3 linked regions of the Rattus norvegicus genome follow. The protein of the gene in region 3 purifies or fractionates together with the protein of the main gene of each other region. This does not show direct contact. Links are inferred from orthologs where the notes say so. Each region holds a gene or a part of one and is shown on either strand. Other genes may lie near its edges.

Region 1 (4,230 bases), on a different chromosome or scaffold from region 3:
AGGGTGCTCACAGAGGCTGCCCTTCACCCTGGGAGTCGCTCACGTGTCTGCATCACTAGGTTTCGACCCTGTTGCCCACCAACAATATTTCTCTGACATACCAGGCCAGGAAGCTACTCCCCTGTCTACAGCTTCACCTGGCTGGACCTGTCTTGACCACATCAGATTCAAGCAGGCAACACTCTTCTTTCCACTCCATATTCTAGCAGGACTCTGAACTCTGCAAGTTCAACTGACCCTGTCTTTGTCTGGAAACAGATACTTCAATAAAGGACTCCTCTAATCATCCATGAGCCACCCAGAAACCTTGGATGTGTCCTCTCACCTTCCTCCTACTTCCTGCTGGAGGCAGGCCCCATCCCCCGCATTCCATCTCCCTTATGAGGGTCCAGGTTCTCTCCTCTTCTTTCTTGTATGCTTCCCGCAGCAACACCTCCACACGCCTCAATCTGTCGCCCCACGAAATCACCTTTCACATCTATGCTACCCTCATTAAGTCACAAATCTGACCTAGCTGCTTAGTTTCCTGTTTCCCTCAGCGAGGAAAAGAATCCCAAGCTCTAGAGTAACTCTGCCCTGCTTACCTGTGCAGTCTCAGCTCCGTGTACAACCTGCGGCCAACTCATTTACGTGTCTATAAGTCAACTGCTCTCAGCTTCCATCATCCGGACTTATCGGCACTGTACGCTCCCTACACCTCTTCCTGTCCCCACACCAGGGAAGGTGGACCCAGCTCAAGGCTCCATCCTCCATCCCTCTGGACTTTCGCCCCCTTCAAGTACAGTCAGAGAACAGAGATGAAGAAAGTGTGTGTGTGCAGGGGTGTCCAGTATTTTCACACTACCACATTCCCAACTGCTGAACCACACTCGGTTACTCAGGACACCTAAGTCGCAGGTTTCACACTCCGATAGCTCATCACTCTCATTGGGGAGATCGCGTTAGGGTCAACAGGTCAAACCACAGCCATTCAGACTGAAATTCAGTGGACTCTAGTCCAGGCCACGCCTAACCCTCCACAGTCACAAAACATAAACACAGACAACAACCACCAAGCTAATCTGCAGTGTACTGTCTCGTGCCCATGTGGTCTCCTGAGGTGTTCCTGTGTGTACACTGTCTGTGTGTAGATGTTAGAGGTCGAGGTTGGGTATCTCTCTCCACACCCCCATTTTTGAAGTTCTCACTGACGAGGTCCCACTGGCTGTCGAGGGAGCTCCAGGGATTTCCCAGTGCTGGGTTACAGACAAGGGCTGCCGCCAGTTTCTGAACTTAGGGCCTGGTGTTTGTGTGGCAGGACAGACACGACAGATGTCATTTTGAGTCTTCCTTCCTTCCTCCATTATGGCCCTGGGCAAGGTACTGAGTCTTTTTGCCTGACTTACTAATTAACACTCAATGGGAACTCTAGAGCAGAGGTTCTCAACCTTCCTAATGCTGCAACCCCTCAACACAGTTCTTCATGTTGTGGGGAACCCCACCCATAATATTACTTTCGTCTCTACTTCACAACTGCATTTTGCTACTGTTATGAATTGTAAAGTAAATATGCAGGATATCCGATTTGCTACCAGTTGACCCCCAGAGGGGTCATGGCCCACCGGCCGAGAACTGCTGCTCTAGGGCCTAGAATGAGCTATTACACAAAAGCACTTAGCCCGACATCCAAGTTCGCTAAATCCAACTCCATATATCTGCCACTGAGTTTCCAAGTGATGTAGGACGCCCAGAGTCTTTTCTTTTCTTTTTTTTTTTTTTTTCGGAGCTGGGGACCGAACCCAGGGCCTTGCGCTTGGTAGGCAAGCGCTCTACCACTGAGCTAAATCCCCAACCCCCAGGGTCTTAAGTTGTACTGGTCAGCAAATCTACAGGCTCCAGGGAGGCTGCGCTGATGACTGACAGCTCCCGGTCCAGCAACCAACCAACCAATCAGCCAGCCAACCACAGAGGACTTCCCTCAGTTCCGGAAACCTCTCACTTTTCCTCCACGGCCCTCACTGCACCACCACAGACCACTCCACTGGTATACCCCACTGCATCCTATATTCATTCAAAGTTCATCTTGCTTCCTGTAGAAAAGGCAAACAGTCCGGGGTCCCCGCACACTGTCCAGAAGAGCATGGGAGGCTTAAGTCAATCATACACCTGGATGGGTCTCTGATTTCCTAACCCTGATGTTTTTTGGGACACTGAATGGTGCCAGTTCCCCATCTCTCACCCAAACCCTGGACAGTCAGGGCTACAAGATCTTAAGTCCTGTATTCTAAGGATGGATGAAATCATCCAAAAGTGAAAAGAGAGTTTGGATTGTCCAGCCCCAGAGAGTGTTTTCCCTCCCTCGGGATGCTGCTGGAGTTTGGAGTTAGAGTTTGTTCACTGTGTCACTGTGTCCCTCTTCTTCCTTGGAGTCTGTTCTGCCCCTCCGGCCAGGAGGTACCATGGCTCCTACCTGGCAGAGAGGTCAGCCCCAGGTGTCACTGTAAATCGGAGTGCATGGAAAACTGAGGTCTCTAATGGGGCAGGACCCGCCAGAAGCCCCTCAGTGCGGCTCCAAGGCCCGCCTTGCTAGGGTCCGGGGTCGGAGGTCAGGGAGTCAAGTGTTGACGCCCCCCTGTACCCGGTTCTGGCCGGCGCAGGAGCCGCGAGGACAGGGCAGAGACCCGGCTTCCTGGCGGAACGCCTACTGCCTTCTCACCTGGCCGCCGTCCGCCTCTTCACCCCACTCAGACGCATTCCCGAAGTAGTCTTCTCCCATAATCGTACCCGGCGCTGGACCCGCCATATTTGCCGCGACTTCACTGCGCGTGCGCGGACACAACAAATGAAAGGGCGCACGCGCGGTTCTGGGCCTCAGGCAAGGCTGGAGAGGCGGAGTTGGCAAGGGGCGTGGTTACACGGGGGCGTGGCCCATGCTTTGGCCTTCTCGGTGGAGGGGGAACACCTTGTAGGATTTCTCAAGAGCAAGACTGTACGTCTCAGAGCTTTACATCTAAGTAGAAAACTTCCAGGACAGCTTTTTATTTTCCTTTTTAAGACAGGGTCTCACTCGGAAGTGCAAGCTGGCTTCAAGTTGCTATAAAGACTTCGAAACTTTCAGTGAGCTTAGCTTTGCCTCTCCGGTGCAGCTACCAGCCGAGCTAGGCATCCATTGAGTCTCAGGCTCTCAGAAATGTCCTGATTTTTTTCACCGTGGGCAAAAATTACTCGATGCAGTGCACAGCGAGATATAAAACGTACTTCCAGTGGAGGAGGCCCTACTAAAGCCATGTCTGGGCCCTGGAAAGAGGACCCACTGAACACCTAAGCTGAAAATAACTGGAGAGGCTACCTAGCAGGTGACCCCAAATCACCACTGAGGTTAGTACGGTGGCCTCTGGATGCAGACAATGAGGAGAGGCTAGAGAAAAGAGCCACGAAGTACAGTCATCAGGCACTGATAACAGGCGCTGAGATGCCATTTTACTCCTCCCTACCATCACTCGACAAGTGTTTGTTGAATAACTCCTAAGTGCCTGGATCATTGATAACACCTGGAGCTCCACGAATCCTTGCCACAGCGCAATGATGCTAGGCAACCGAAGCAAATACTCTGTAATAACAGAAGAAACTTTCCCAAGGTGCTCAGGGGCTGTCTTACCATTTCAAACAACCTGGCAAAGAAAGTCCACCACAGGAGCTGGTGGCACCTTGCATTTTAGTTGACGCCGGAGCCACCAGAGTTGACAACCCCTTGCAAGGATTTAGTCCAATGGAGTATTGAAGCATTACAGAGTTGGTGGGGAGTTAGCGGGTCTTAGTTATTATAAAAGTTCATCTGGATTTTTGTTTGCTTGATATATCTGGAATGTCTAGCCGTTTGCTACACCCGAGGGGGAGGGGCGTAAGGAGACCGGAGCTGCAGGGCAGGAGGGGAGAGGGGAACAGGCAGGGCATGGTCTGGTAAGAAGCTACCTAGACTTCCAGTCTGTACACTCACAGGTGGCCCAGCAGGAGGAAGGTTTCTGCCGGGGACAGGGATATGTTCAGGCTGGAGCCTGCTGCACTGGAGACAACTCCGAAAGACTTCTTTGCGGATGGTGGAGGGGGCTATTTTACATATCTCCACTCAATGGACAAAGGTGTTTTCAGTTCAGGAGGGCCCTGCTTTGGGTTCATTTCAGGCTCATTTTTATTTGTTTTCTGAAAATGTTGGAAATAACGAATGTCTGTTAAACTCCAACGATGGCTCGT
Region 2 (4,358 bases), on a different chromosome or scaffold from region 3:
GTACAAGTAGACAGTGAGCATAAGGTAAAACAAAAAGGAACCAACAGACCCTGATTACACCGAAACAGTTACAGGCTGCTCTCAGCACAGGTGCTCTTCAATCCTTACTTAGAGTATTTCTATATACCATTAGCAAAAAAAAAAAAAAAAAGACATGTATGAATATAGGATAACCACAGAACTTAACAGTTCTAACTCCCCAAACCTCTAGGTTAAGTGTAGGCATAATGTTATTGTGCACTATGTCGATATTATCCATGTATTATTCAAATGCTAATTTCTATGCCCCCCCCACATTGGTTGTAATTCTTATTCTAAGAATCTCCTTCCTCGATGTTGTATAAACATTGCTCCCCATTTGTTCTCTGATTTGTCAATAAAAGCTGATCAGCAAATGACCGAGTAGGAGAAGGGAGGGAAGGGAAAAGAGAGAGAGGAAGTGGGAAGTTGCTATGGGGAGTCCAGGAGGCTTCATGAGATCAGACCTGGAGCCCAGAGAACCAGATTAGTACTAAAATGCAAGTATCTCAGGGATTTTGGCTAGGGGGTAGCCAGATTAGTTTAGAAGATTAAAATGGAGTAATACTGCTCAGTTGTTGTGCCCTTAGAACTGATTAAATAAATGGGAGCTAGCTGAGTTAAGAGGAAAACTGCAACAAACACTTACTAAAAAGCAACTAATAATGGAGACTATTTTATTTACACAATGAGTTGAGGACATGGCTCAGTTGATAGAGTGTTTCCCAAGTCAAGTCTGAAGATCTAAGTTCAGATCTCCATATTCATATAAAAAGCCTTCTCAGTCGGTACATACAATGCTAGAGATTGAGATGGGGCATGCTGGTTAGCTCCAGAGTCAATGAAAATGTCTCACAACGAAAGAGCAGCTGAGGAGTTGGGGATTTAGCTCAGTGGTAGAGCGCTTGCCTAGGAAGCGCAAGGCCCTGGGTTCGGTCCCCAGCTCCGAAAAAAAGAACCAAAAAATAAATAAATAAATAAATAAATAAAGAGCAGCTGAGGTAGACACCTAAGCCGGACCCTGGCCTCACAGATACTTGCAGAGATGTGTACACATAAATGAACATGTAAACACAAAAATGACACACACTAAGACACAGACTGACAGACAGGAGTGCCAGGGGCCAAGAAAAGCTGAAACTATTCCTGAAGATTAAGCAAAGGGTTTGCCCAGTACGTCACACATCAAAACACACTAACAATAAAGTGACAGTAAGTAGCTTGGCTGGTTATTGGCTGGTTATTAGCAAGACACACAAATGACAAAAGAGAGAGAGAGAGAGAGAGAGAGAGAGAGAGAGAGAGAGACAGACAGACAGACAGACAGACAGACAGACAGGGAGGCAGAAGCAACAGGACAGAAAAAGACTGTCAGGTGGTGCTGGACCATCACACAGCCATTTGTAAAACTGAACTCAGTTTCACAACCATCAGTCCCAGTCAATGGCAGACTGAAGAACGAGAGAGAGATAGTAAGTGCTGAGAGACCACAGGTGCCTCCCTCTCCCCTCAAAATTGGAGTACTTCCTGAACAAGGCCAAACAGCCACCTACCACAGGGAAAGAGAGGCTTGAAGAACGGAATCCCATAATGCAGAGTAAATTAAACTCTGTCTGCAATAACTTGGATGAATCTGTTCCAGGTGCCTATCAACAGAAGACACACCCACACCACTTGGAGAATGAATATAACATGGTAAATTCAAAAAACAAACCAAACAAAAACAAACCAAAAAACTTCCTGCGGGAAAGAGAGAAGAAGGGAGGTGCTTTGGAGGGTCCAGCCTTGTTTTCTTGTGTGGAGGTAACGGGAGTGGGTCATTTAATTATCAGTATTTGTTAAACTGAATAAAGATGCAGTTCTGTGTACACGATATAGCGCTGCAACAAAAACAAATGATGTAAAAATGATATAATGATATAAAAATAATAACTGGAAGTGTTTAAAACTAAGGCACTTCGGTGTTTTTTGCTATGAGATGTGGTGGCCCAGACCTGCAATCCCAACCCTCCAGAGATTGAGGCTGGAGAACCCTAAGTTTGAGATCAACCTGGGCTACACAGTGGCACTCTATACACATTATCTGTGTATGTATTTGCAAAATATCGTATATGTTAGACAGACAGATACAATGTGGAACAAGAATGCACTGAAAAGAAGCCACAGAATAGAGATGAAGCCAAGTAGACTGATACTTGGTAAGGCAAAAGCAACAAAATTAAGGTCAGCAGTCACATGGAAAGTTGCACTGACAGTCCCGAACCAAAAGGAGCTTCGGAACTGCAGTGTCCAGCACTCCGGGAGGGGCCGGCCTGGTTGAGGGTTGTTGTGGCCATGGCCCCACGACCCCCGAACGCAGACAGCGTCCAGCGGCTGGAGGTACTAAGGTGTTGGGGCCGGGTGGGCAAGACCAACGGCGCGGACACGGAGCTGAGCGGGGCCGGCGGGAGAAGGGCAAGGTACGGCTCAGGTGCTGGCGGGAGGCAGGAGCGGTGCTCCGGCCGGAGAGAGGCTGGCCTGCGTCCTCACCTCATCCACCGTGCGGCGCGGAAGATGCAGCGTCCCGAGCAGCAGCTTGAGCTTCACAGCCGATGAGAGGCGGTGGAAGCAGAGGCGGATGTTATCGATGACCGCAGCGGTGAGCAGGGACGCGATGCTGGGTGGCGCCCACAGCTCGTCCGTGGCGCCCAGTTTGTTGTGCAGCCACAGGCCCGTGTCGCTCTCCCGCATGGAAGCCATCTTGGCGGCGGCAGCGCGCGTCGGCCGGCATCTTACGCGGACGCCTACGTGTCCCCAGCGAGGACCCCCAACATGGCGGCACCCGTTGGCGTGGGGCGGGGCCTCGAGTGACAGACAAATACAATTGCAAATGGCCCCGCCTTCTGGAGGCTACGAGCCGAGGCGCAAGAACGGGAGTGAGCGATGAGTCTCCGCGAAAAGGACTGTGGGTTTCCGTAACGCATGATGGCGGCACCCACTAGGGCGCCGGGCAATGACGTAGCCCGACATTGTGTTGTGTCGCATCCGTGTGCCCTAGAGATGCATCGCCCAGAGTGAGGTGCGACTGTTCGGTTTCCCGGTATGCTGCCCAGTGGATAAAGGTCTGAAGAGGGTACTAACCACGTTCTCCACAAGCCTGATGCTCTTCCCCTTGTCCAGCAGACAATGCTGCCTCGGGTCCGCGCACAGGTCCGTTCCGAGTGTGAGATGCCTGCGGTTTAATCATCAGGAGAACTGCAAAGTAGTTCGAAGTACAGTCCTTCAAAGGCTGATACTCTGCGTCTGCTGAGAAGCCTAAATTCACCCTGTAGTGTATCTTTATCAGAACACTTGACAATGTAGACAATGTCTGTCCTTCGAACTCACTCTGTAGAGCAAGCTGGCCTCAAATTCAGAGATCCACCTACCTCTGTCTCCCAACTACTAGGATTAAAGCCCAGGGCAATGACAGCAAAAGTGGCAGTAGGGTACTTCTTGGACACAGATACTCGTGAGATTGAGAAGGATCAGTTGGGCGCAGGAGGTAGAGGCCATCTTGTGCAAAATAGTAAAACCCATCTTCTAAAACATTAAGTATTCTGAGAGTCATGGTTCATGTCTGTAATCCCTGGAAATCAGGGAACTAAGACAGGAGGATTGCCGCCAGTTACAGTCCCTTTTGAGCCACAGAATGAGAATATATAAATGTATATTGCTTTCTCCTAATGAAATGTTACTTCATGAAGAGAGGAAAACAGCTCTTAAGACTTAGGATGGTGGGGTTGGGGATTTAGCTCAGTGGTAGAGCGCTTGCCTAGGAAGCTCGAGGCCCTGGGTTCGGTCCCCAGCTCCGAAAAAAAAGAACCAAAAAAAAAAAAAAAAAAAGACTTAGGATGGTAACTAAATGTACCAGGGAAAGGTGTAAGACTCACAAGACCACTTCCTAAAGTGCTCTAAAGAGTTACTAACAGAGAAGAGATCATGGAGTTGCCCGATTCAAGGGGTTGGAAACCTCAGGGATCCAGCATTTGGTGACAGCTGTAGTGTAGTGGTCTTTGCTGAGGCTTTAAGTACTTGGAGTAGGTTTTTGCTACTCTGTGGGTTCTTTTTCCTATCCTTCACCACCACCCCCATCTGTTTCACCTCTTATCACTGTTTCTCTATCACTAGATAAATTAGGATGGGGGGGATAGAGATCCCTGAATCTGATTTCTTCTTGTTTTTTCTTTGAGCATCACTACTAACAAGCCGCCACCACCACCACCACCACCACCCCAGTGGCTAACAGTCACCAACTCCACCTGTCGGGGCTTGAGCATTTATATACCCTCTGAAAAATTCCCAGAATTTCAAATGGCACA
Region 3 (3,387 bases):
TGGGGAGATGCTCAGGTGTCACAAAAAAGGAAGCTTGATGTGCACGGCTGATAAAGGTGGCAGAACGGGCCCACCTCATCTGTTCTTAACTGGCCAGTGAAAGCCAGGTTATGTGCACCATAGAAGAGAGAGGAGCTGGCTCCCAGTGCACTTCTTTAGGCCAGCTCAGAAGCTTTCTGGGGTTATGAAGTGTCAAGTGACCATGGCCCTCCTTATCTACACAGGTTGGTGTGATCAGCTGGGGAGTAGTGGATGTCTGCAAAGACCCGAGGCGGCAACAGTTGGTGCCCTCCTATGCCCGGGACTTCCACATCAATCTCTTCCAGGTGCTGCCCTGGCTAAAGGAGAAGCTCAAAGACGAGGACTTGGGTTTCTTATAAGGAGCTTCCTGCTGGGAGGGTGAGGGCAGATTAAAGCAGCTACAATACAAATACAAAGTGTGTTCCACATCTTTTTGGGGTAAGGGAGTGGGGCGTGCACTGGTTAACAACACTGACAGCTGCTTTTGAAGGCTCAACTCCAATCCCAAGTGCTCAAAGACTAGAGGCTGACAGAGGTGAAAAGCTTCTACCCCAGGATTTTACTGAGACCAGCTTGGGGGCATATGAGGCACAAGGAATCCAGCTTCATGTCCTAGAAGCCATCCACAAGGTTTCCTATAGATCGTCACTGTACACAATCTGGGTCCTCTTGTCCCGGTGGCAACCCTTGGGGCTGTTCTGGACAGCTAAGGAGGGAGGAAAGTGACAGTTAAGGTCTGAAGCAGTGGCCGCTTCCATTAGACCTGGGGTCCAGAGCCCTGGCCCTGGTCCACCAGGGCTTACTCTGCCCTCTGGTGGCCACAGTCTCACCCTGGCTTAGAAAACCCAGAGAGTTAAACCCTGAGATCTGTGCAAATGAAAAGATCAGAACGCCTGTGGCCTTGCCCGCTGGGCAACGCTGGCTCCTCCTGGTGTCTACTGTGCTTACTTCTTCTCCAGAAAAATCTGTTTCAGGCAGAATGGGCTCCCCACACTGAGAAATCCCACCCATGGGGACCTCTGTGAACCAGAGTGCTCAGCGTTTCTTTCCTCGTCCTCCTCTCCTGCCCCAGGACTCCCTGTGGGGCTGAGAGGCAGCCTCCTCTTTGGTCTTACATCCTTCTCAGAGCCCAAAGCTTCTGGGGCTGCTCTTGGCTTGGACCCTTCTCACGGTTCCCTTGCCGCAGGCTCCACTGGGCCTAGCAAGCTGGAGGTATGCTCGGCAGACAGCAGAGCCCGGCTTCCTAGCGTTTTTGGTTCTCTAAACCCACCACGGGTCACTTTTATTTCTCCAAAATCCCATCTCTGATGGGTCCAGATGCAACAGAACTGATCTACACCTCCATGCCTGGCTTCCACCTGAGGTCCAGACCCACAGTACCAGGTCCAGACAGTGCTCCAGCTCAGAGGACACACTGGCTCCTACTTTCCTGTCTGTGACGCTCACTACTGGGGGACCCTGGTTTTTGTTTTTGTTTTTTGTTTTTTTTTTCTTTTCGGAGCTGGGGACCGAACCCAGGGCCTTGCGGTTGCTAGGCAAGCGCTCTACCACTGAGATAAATCCCCAGCCCCTTAAATAAATGGCTTTTCAAAACAAGATTTCTCTGTGCAACCCTGGCTGTCCTGAACTGAAAAGGGAACCTTTTAACGCTGTTCTCCTTCCCTCACCTGACAGATACCCTGGCAATTCTCCATCCTCTGCCTATGTGAAGACCCTGACCTTTGGCACTTTAGGCCACTCAAAGCTGTAGAGGGAACAGGAAAAGCTGTGCTGCAGGAGGGGGAGGGAGGGCCTCATCCTTACCAAGGGAGCCCCAGACAGATTTGCCAGTAGCAGCGTCCAGCATGGGCTGTTTTCGGGCTATGTTGACTTTGAGCTGCACAGATTCCACCTGGGTCCCATTGAGCTGTGGGACAAGAGGGGAGGGGACAGAGGATGGGTATTACATGGAGCCAGTTGCTGCCACCCTGGGAGGAGACCAAACAGGCATGTGAGGATGCAGGTTTTCTTGGTCAGGAGGAAAGTTTCCTCTAGGAGCAGGCATTGTTAGGAAGAAGCAGGAGGATGACAGGAGGGTGGGAGGAGCGGTCTGAGAAGTCCCAACCTCAGCAACAGCCTGATCTGCTGACTCCATCTTCTCGTAGGTGACGAAGGCACAGCTGGGTGAGAGAAGGCAGAGTCAGGGGGCTCCATGGGGCTCCACGGACCCAGTGACCCCCATGCTGCACACCAAGCGGCTCCTTCCCAGGATGCTCAATCCTTACTTTCTGGGTGGGTCCATGGAGAGGTCGATGATATTTCCAAAGGGAGAGAAGGCCCCTCGGAGGAGGGTGGGCGTCATGTCCTCTCCATACACATACAGAGTGTTCCCCTTTCGAGGGGCCCTCCGTTCGGGGAATGAGTCTGACCCTGTGGGTTAGGAACCATAGTCATTACCGAGTCCACATCACCTTCTACTTAGCGTGACCCACCTAAACCCTGGCCAAGACCACTCACTACGGAAAGGGCCCTCTCGGTCTCGCTCCCGGTCCCTGTCTCTGTCCCGCTCTTTGTCTCTGTCCCGGTCCCGGTCTCTGTCTTTGTCTTTGTCCCGTTCTCTGTCTCGATCCCGGTCTCTGTCTCGTTCTTTGTCCCGGTCCCTATCTCGGCTCCGATCATGACTTCTGTCCCGGCTGCGGCTTCGGGGAGGGGAGGCTGAGGATCGGGCACCGCTGTGTTCTTCATAGCTCCAGTCAAAACCTCGAGGTGGGCCTTCACCAGCCCCAGGGGCCTCTGCTTCTTCTCCATCTTGTCCCAGTTCCCGAAGCCGATCACTAGAAGACACAAAGCTGGGGAGAGGAAGATTACGGTGAGGATCAAAGGGGATTCCACCTTCCTCCAGACCTTGCGTAGTCAACCATGTCTCTGCAGCTGGCCCCTTCCACTCTAGCCCTGAACTTTCCAGTCACGCTGGCCTTTGGCCCCATACCAAACGATGCTCTCTAACCTTTCATACAGAGATTTCCTTTGGGGCCGTCTGGATGGCTGGGGGAAAAGAAAGGACAGAGAACAATTAAAATAACTCCCAGGCACCGGAGTGGGTGCACAATATGTGGGTCTCTTGCCCCCGATCCCAGCCCCACAGAAACCATTACCTCCTGTAGGTCCTCGTCAGCAGACATGCTCCTCTGGAACGGCTGGAAGGTGGGGACAGGCCCCTTCTCTGGGTCCTGGAAAGTGGTAGACACCCATGTTATTGTGGACCAGGAGAACTCTTCCCCCTCTCCTCGGCTTCTCTGTTAGACTTCTTATGGTGATGTGTTGGTCTTTTTGATTGATATGTTTTTTTGTTTTTGTTTTTTGTTTTTTTTTTGTTTTTTGTTTTTT

What was found. Proteins that work in one complex are often made in the same cells at the same time.
Region 1: the proteins of Nelfe (region 3) and Nelfcd purify together in Homo sapiens (affinity purification with mass spectrometry; 9 studies listed by BioGRID and IntAct, counting the BioPlex papers as one, with this or other methods). This does not show direct contact. The link is inferred for Rattus norvegicus from reciprocal best matches to the Homo sapiens genes NELFE and NELFCD.
Region 2: the proteins of Nelfe (region 3) and Nelfa purify together in Homo sapiens (affinity purification with mass spectrometry; 9 studies listed by BioGRID and IntAct, counting the BioPlex papers as one, with this or other methods). This does not show direct contact. The link is inferred for Rattus norvegicus from reciprocal best matches to the Homo sapiens genes NELFE and NELFA.

The regions. Positions count from the first base shown.
Region 1 is NC_086021.1:183,630,554-183,634,783, reverse strand, and holds the start of Nelfcd (negative elongation factor C/D), read right to left. Parts: upstream 2,817-4,230; 5' UTR 2,783-2,816; coding exon 2,696-2,782; intron 1-2,695. UniProt on the Homo sapiens protein: Essential component of the NELF complex, a complex that negatively regulates the elongation of transcription by RNA polymerase II.
Region 2 is NC_086032.1:81,031,928-81,036,285, reverse strand, and holds the start of Nelfa (negative elongation factor A), read right to left. Parts: upstream 2,817-4,358; 5' UTR 2,758-2,816; coding exon 2,548-2,757; intron 1-2,547. UniProt on the Homo sapiens protein: Essential component of the NELF complex, a complex that negatively regulates the elongation of transcription by RNA polymerase II.
Region 3 is NC_086038.1:3,980,702-3,984,088, forward strand, and holds the end of Nelfe (negative elongation factor E), read right to left. Parts: intron 3,231-3,387; coding exon 3,156-3,230; intron 3,046-3,155; coding exon 3,008-3,045; intron 2,850-3,007; coding exon 2,518-2,849; intron 2,431-2,517; coding exon 2,286-2,430; intron 2,181-2,285; coding exon 2,126-2,180; intron 1,928-2,125; coding exon 1,825-1,927; intron 728-1,824; coding exon 657-727; 3' UTR 560-656; downstream 1-559. Other genes in the region: Cfb (complement factor B precursor), read left to right, coding at 225-380. UniProt on the Homo sapiens protein: Essential component of the NELF complex, a complex that negatively regulates the elongation of transcription by RNA polymerase II.